2 linked regions of the Arabidopsis thaliana genome follow. The protein of the gene in region 1 interacts with the protein of each later gene in a pairwise test. Each region holds a gene or a part of one and is shown on either strand. Other genes may lie near its edges.

Evidence for each region.
Region 2: the proteins of AT2G32280 (region 1) and OPS interact in a two-hybrid assay, tested with the Arabidopsis thaliana proteins (one study listed by BioGRID).

The regions. Positions count from the first base shown.
Region 1 is NC_003071.7:13,711,170-13,714,928, forward strand, and holds the start of AT2G32280 (GPI inositol-deacylase C, putative (DUF1218)), read left to right. Parts: upstream 1-1,796; 5' UTR 1,797-2,040; coding exon 2,041-2,139; intron 2,140-2,336; coding exon 2,337-2,542; intron 2,543-2,621; coding exon 2,622-2,808; 3' UTR 2,809-2,836; exon of another isoform or gene 2,837-3,330; intron 3,331-3,346; exon of another isoform or gene 3,347-3,473; coding exon of another isoform or gene 3,474-3,677; 3' UTR 3,678-3,759. Other genes in the region: BAM6 (beta-amylase 6), read right to left, coding at 3,474-3,677. UniProt on the Arabidopsis thaliana protein: Required, together with OPS, for embryo provasculature development and cotyledon vascular complexity and connectivity.
Region 2 is NC_003074.8:2,769,726-2,773,484, reverse strand, and holds the start of OPS (LOW protein: UPF0503-like protein, putative (DUF740)), read left to right. Parts: upstream 1-2,109; 5' UTR 2,110-2,547; coding exon 2,548-3,759. UniProt on the Arabidopsis thaliana protein: Potentiates primary root protophloem differentiation. Required, together with VCC, for embryo provasculature development and cotyledon vascular complexity and connectivity. Regulates roots architecture.

The sequences.
Region 1 (3,759 bases):
TTAAGATCAATCGGTGTGATATTGATCCTACATCTCGGCGAGAGCGGGATTGAACAATTCATAAACTTAACTTCACAAGATCATGGAGAGCTCCATAAATCCGGAGGTTCACGAATCATGGCCAAAAAATCTATCGTACAAGATAACAACATGAACACGGCTCATAAAAAACCTTATCTCTATTAATCAGTAAAACCCTAATTTTCAGCCAATTCCGGTTCAGTTAGTCTTCGGTTTAACATTTTTTCTTCGGTTTAATATTTAAACAAAAAAAATACAAATTCGGTTTAATGTCACACAACCATTACTAAACCGCGTGATTCGAAGCACAACTTAACAATTAGAAATTAGAATATTCATTTTTTTCAAAAACAAATTTGGATTATTGCATTATTGTTTGGATAAAACCACGATGATGTTCACATGACAAAATGATGTTTAGTGAACGAGACGCCAACCGCTTTATATGAACTGTTTTAGTTCGGAGATTTTGCGAGTTCCGACTATGGGTTAGAACTAAAATTTTCCCATATTGTCAAATGATGTTGTTATAAATAATATATTCTCTACATAATTACTGTGGAATTAAGGAACATAAATTTGATTCTTTAACAGAGAAGTGAAGATATTGGCCATGCTTGGTTGGGTTGTATTATGCCCTACTTTTCTTCCCCCCCAACACAAAGAATCCAACCATGTTTAACCAAACCAAATAAATATATAAAAAGCAACTATAAATTATTCACTTGAAGAAATGTTAATTAACAAATCGATAATTTTTATTTAAAGCGAATTCGCCATTCCATGACCATATGGACAAAAAGAAGCTTTATTGGGCCAAAGTACCCACATGCATATCCCACAGCTAATCTTTTTTATTTTTGACATATCCCAGCTAATCATATTCCATGTTTCTTCTATCCTTTTTTTTTAAAAAATTGATTATATTCCCATGATAATCATTTCAATTGTTTTACCTAATCCTATATTTGTTCGGAGTTTCTACTAGAATTTCTATCTACATCAACATCAAATTGTAATAGCTTTATGTCTTTGCTAAAGCACATTACCTATGTAGCAAACAATCGTATTAAATATAAACGAAAATATAGCTTTATGTCTTTTCACTAAAATCAACAATACTAATCCAAATCGGAGATTTGCTTTCGGTAAACATTTTTGTTCGACTTTTTATCTAGAATATTATAAAGTAAGAAATTTTGTGAATAAGTTACTAAAATGAATTCATTACAAAAGTAGATAAAGTATAAACTATCATGATAATTTAGAAGTAAAAGGATTATTTTTTTGTGAATAGTAATTTTAGATAAATAAATTATATATCTACTAAAGAGTAAATAAAAATATCAATACAATTATTTAATTTTTAAGGGCAATACAATTATTTATCATTTTGATTCATAATTAAAAAAAATTGTCGACAAACAAAAAAGCTTCATAATTTTAAATTTAGCATATATTAAGAGATATTTCATAAGAGACACTAATGTCTTTCTAATTTTCATGTTAACTTGGATGTTTTAAATATCAATCAAAAAGGTTATAATTGAGCCTCACCAAAAAAAAAAAGGGGTTATAATTGATCTGATTCGATCAATTATCCAGTGTAATTATATATTGCAATCTAGTTAATGATATAACGTTATAGGTCTCATTTCCTACATTCAACTAAAAGGTAAGCTAAAAAATCTAAAAGATACAAATATCCAACAGGAGAAATATCTTTTTCTCTCATTGTCTATATTTGTTGTTCTTCTATCTCTTTCTCTCTCTTTTTCTTCCACACCCTCACAACTTTACTTACGACTTTATTATATATATACCACCAACCCATTTTGTCATAAAAGATCATTACTCGTTAAGACTTTCCACTACCCATTCTCATTCTCTCTTCAACTAATATTCTTCCCCGGCCCTCATAAAGAAGCTTCTCCTGTTCTTTATTCACATTTTCCAAAATTGTATCTTCTTAAAGTATCTCCAACAAAACTAAATCCTACTAAGTTAAGAGATTTGAAAATGACAAAGATAGGAGGTATTCTTGTTTGTCTAGTCATTGTGGGCTTAGATGTAGCTGCTGCAATCCTCGGAATCCAAGCTGAAGTCGCCCAAAATCAGGTAAAATAAATGTTCTCTTTCAAATTAATAAATGTTGTTTCCCTAATTTATGATGCTAAAATTGGTAATGATGGTTGCATAACATACATACTGTCTCAAACTTAGAAATTTTCTCAAAAAAAAAAAAAAAAACATTAGGAACCTGAATTAATAGATTTTTTTTTAACAAATGAAACCATCGATTTCCTCTATTGTAGGTGAAGCACATGAGGCTTTGGTTATTTGAGTGCAGAGAGCCGAGCCAGGACGCGTTCAGGCTCGGTCTAGGTGCAGCCGCGATATTGGTAATGGCTCATGTCCTACTTAACTTGGTCGGAGGCTGTCTTTGTATTTGCTCTCAAGACGAGTTTCAAAGATCTTCTTCCACTAGACAAATCTCCATGGCTTGTCTTGTCCTCACTTGGTACGTTAATACAAAATCTTCTTGGCATTAATAATTGTTGGTCCAAGTAAAATGACATGATTGGCTGGTGTAATCACAGGATCGTATTCGCTGTTGGATTTGGGAGTATAGTGATTGGGACGATGTCGAACAGTAAGTCAAGATCCTCTTGTGGATTCACACATCACCATTTTCTCTCCATTGGAGGGATTTTGTGTTTTCTTCATGCCCTCTTCTGTGTTGCTTATTACGTTTCTGCCACTGCGGCCAAAGATGAAGCTAAGTGACAAAGTGTCACGGTTAATGATGGAACAGGTAGGTCCTTGTTCTTGACTATATTTATGTATAATCATATAACCTAGTTTCAATTTATTTCTTCTTATGAATCGTTTCACTTATTTCGAAGTCACTTTTGTAATTTTGAAAGCTGTGTCATTTTGAAAAATATGGAAAAGCTTTTATGTCACGCTCTGTTGTCGCATGTGGGGTTAAAATGCACTAGTGATAATGACATTCGGTGGAATCTTGTCTTTGCTTCGGGTCTTTAAATTAATTCAATTGTCTCTCGTTCTCTCTTTTTCACACACACACCTATGTGAATCCTTGTCACGGGAAACTTGAAATCTGTAGAACTGATTTCTAGGAAAATAGAATAATTTTTATAGAAGAGAGTATCAAATGGCACTATGAAGTAGAGAATTGCACAAACATTTTTTACTACCAGAAGAAGATCTGGTCTGAAATCCGACCAAAAAGGAGTTTGTATGAAAACTGATTTTTCTGTTGTTTAACTTCAAAATGTCTACAGTTGTCATATCCTGTAATCAGAAAACTAATGGTTCAAATTTATATCATTAGGATGAATTATTTACTTTTATATATTTATCTCAAATCTTTACATATTTACTTCAGAAATCTTATACGTTTATAGAATTTCCCCTTAGCATATTCTCTAGGACTTCTTTCTCAAAAATGTGCTTCGCAATAGAGACAGTACACTCTCAAAGGGTCTAATACTCATGTCTGTCTCGTCCAGCCATGGAAATGGATCAAATGGTTCTGTTTCTTCCATAAACATCTCCAAGGATTCATCGTTTCTCGATCTTTCCAACGGAAGCAGCTCGTGATTATACCTTTCAGGCTCTGAACAATACTCCTGAATCATGAAAAGCACACACAACTTCAGAAAAATGTTAAATGATCTTGGAGCAAATACACATCTCGAAGAGGGCTCTTTT
Region 2 (3,759 bases), on another chromosome or scaffold:
CCGTATTCACCACCATATCCATAACACCACCGCCTCTTCCGTATTCATCACCACCGCCGTTTACTTTTGTTGACATGTATTTTTATTCTAAAACATTGTATTTTTCAAAGTTTCTTTTAAATAATACTTGTTCTTTACTAAAATTACAATGATCCGTATGTCTCAATTCAAACGATAGCATGTAATTTTTGAATACTTCATGCTATTTTTCTATTTTTCTATTTGATATGTATATTTTCCTAAAACGTTTATATTTTTTGATAAGATAATATTTTTTTAAAGATAATGTGCATTTTACAAATAATCTATGTTTTTTTACTAAAATCACAAGTAAGTTAGTGATTCATGATTTATGTTTTTTTTTATAATCACATGCAAATTTGTACAATCACATGTAATCTATAAATAACACATATGTGGTTTGCTTATCTCTGTTGAAACCCATTTACCATATTGTCAAAACAATAAACCTACATTTTAATGTAATAAAAATAAATAGCATGTCCTTAAATATCTTATGCAATATTTCTATACTCAATCACAACTGTTTCTAAATGGCTATCTTTTAACTAAGTTTTCTTTTACGTATACATTTTTAAGGTATAAGAGATATTGCGTGTGATTTTAATAAGTAGTGGTCTAATATTGCATGATTTTTTAAGAAGTAGCGGTGTAATCATTATTTCGTATTATCTTTTGTTTCCTACATGTAGCAGCTATTGTCGGAAAGAAAGAGTTTATCTCATTTATAAAGGGTAAAATAGTTATTTCGAAGGATAAAAAAATGTTATTTACCCAACTTTTCTGCACGAAGGCTATTTTATTAATAATGCTGTCAAATTTGGTCATCCTCTAATATTACCTTAATTAAAATACGATAGTAAATTATATCTTACGATGGTTACTAGAATGTTAGTACAGTATGTTGTAGTTTATACGAAAGAACAAAATGATTCACCAAACGAGCGGCGTTTAGGTGAAGGACAATATTTGTTTCCCATGCTAGAGACATTCGGAGACCCGTACGTACTATAGTTCCTAAATCATATTAATAGCAAATATATATATTTGAATATCTAAATTGAATATTATTCTGTGGGGAAAACAGAAAGAAAAGAAAAGCCAAGACAAATTTGATCAGATAAAGGAATAAAACTAAAGTTAAAGTTATATAGAATGCATATCACAACAAAAAAAGAAAGCATACAAATAATACAGTCTTTGATAACGAAAACTTGATCAATGTTTTCTCGTGTTTTTTCTTGACTATAACCTCTCTTCTTCTTGCAAACAGTATAACTTTAAAAATGAATTTTGAAAGTACTTGATTTTTGTTATGAATTATTCGTCTTAATTTTAAACCTCTGTTTTTCGTCTTAATGTTAGAATATCGAGAAGATTAGTTTGGAGAAATGTATGAATATATAACACAGAAAAACAAAAGAGAGAAAAAGAAAAAGGAAAGAAGAGAGAAAGCGAAAGGAGAGAGTGTCATAGAGACAAGAAATTAGGAGTGTGATGGCGTGATTTGCTTTTCCTTTTTTTTTTGGGTCCGAATCTTTTTAATTCCAAAGTATCTCTTTTTAAAATTTCTTTAAATTAAAAACAAATACTAGTAAATTCTTAGTTGTTACTGTGGTTAAAGCGGGTAAATTCCATAGTTGACGCCTGTTGCTATGATTGATGCGATAATTGACATGATTATTACGGTAGCACTGTAAGAAATGCACAAGATGCAGCACTATCAAAATACTACTAGTATTAACTAATCAATTAATATCGTTGAAATAATTTGTTTGTAACTTTAAACGGACTTTATTAGATCAACAAAATCATCATGTACTAAATAACACACGCACCCCATACTTATCGTTGAATCACGATAGAGTTATTGTTTTAGATTAAAATGAAGCATGTGTTGTTGCTTTTTGAAAATTTTGTCAAAAGTAGTGTGAAAATTTTGATTTTTTAGTTAAAATTGCTTTTGACAAAGCAGGGAAAAAAATCCACTTTGCCACCGACCCAACAAGTAACGGGTTTATATTAGCATTACATGAGACAAAAATCGACAGAACATAAGGTCAATTTAGACATATCATATTTCTCCAATTAATTTGCATGTTAACAAAAAAAAAATGTAACTGACAAAGAAAATAAAAAGCAAAATATTGAAGTGGACAAAGGTTTAATATGTTTTATGTTAGATATAGTACATAAAAATAAGATTTGGCTTATATCATATGAATAAATCTGAACAAAATTTCTAGATAACCGTACATTAACACGCTAAAACCATATCCTAAAACTTTTGTTTATTTGAAAACACTAATTTGGTTTTTCTATAATAATTCTTTTGTTTTGTTTTTTTCTTGTTCATCTCCTTTCTCTTTCAATTACCGTTGGAACAAGACGAAGTTTCAGAGACAACACTACCCAATCTCTCTCTCTAACCTTAAGTGTTGTCTTTCTCTCTATAAGCCAGAGACCAGACAGTGATGACGATATAGTATATGAGACCAGAGGGAGGATTAACCACCATTTCCCGTCATGAATCCAGCTACTGACCCAGTCTCCGCCGCCGCAGCTGCTCTTGCTCCGCCTCCACAACCTCCGCAGCCTCACCGTCTCTCTACCTCTTGCAACCGTCACCCAGAAGAGCGGTTCACCGGTTTTTGCCCTTCTTGTCTCTGTGAACGTCTCTCAGTCTTAGATCAGACCAACAATGGCGGTTCCTCTTCTTCCTCTAAAAAGCCTCCGACCATCTCTGCTGCGGCTCTCAAGGCTCTCTTTAAGCCTTCCGGAAACAACGGAGTGGGCGGTGTAAATACAAACGGAAACGGCCGGGTTAAACCCGGATTCTTCCCGGAGCTCCGTCGTACGAAATCTTTCTCAGCATCCAAGAACAACGAAGGATTCTCCGGCGTGTTTGAGCCACAACGTAGGTCTTGTGACGTCAGGCTTCGAAGCTCTCTTTGGAACTTGTTTAGCCAAGATGAGCAACGAAACCTTCCAAGCAATGTCACCGGCGGTGAGATTGATGTCGAGCCGAGGAAATCAAGCGTTGCGGAGCCTGTTCTAGAGGTAAACGATGAAGGAGAAGCTGAAAGTGACGACGAAGAACTTGAAGAGGAGGAGGAGGAAGACTACGTTGAAGCTGGCGACTTTGAGATTCTCAATGATTCCGGCGAACTAATGAGGGAAAAAAGCGACGAGATTGTTGAAGTTAGAGAGGAGATTGAAGAAGCGGTGAAACCAACAAAGGGTTTAAGCGAAGAGGAGTTAAAGCCAATAAAGGATTACATAGATCTTGATTCTCAAACCAAGAAGCCATCGGTACGACGGAGTTTTTGGTCGGCGGCCTCTGTTTTCAGCAAGAAGCTTCAGAAATGGAGGCAGAATCAAAAGATGAAGAAGCGGCGTAACGGCGGCGACCATCGGCCAGGATCAGCTAGATTACCGGTGGAGAAACCGATTGGGAGACAGCTCCGGGATACTCAATCGGAGATTGCTGATTACGGATATGGTCGGAGGTCGTGCGATACCGACCCTCGATTCTCTCTAGACGCCGGAAGATTCTCTCTTGACGCCGGTAGATTCTCCGTTGACATCGGTAGGATCTCGCTTGATGATCCTCGTTATTCGTTTGACGAGCCGAGAGCTTCTTGGGACGGGTCTTTGATTGGACGGACAATGTTTCCTCCCGCCGCGAGAGCTCCTCCGCCGCCGTCAATGCTCTCGGTGGTGGAGGATGCGCCGCCG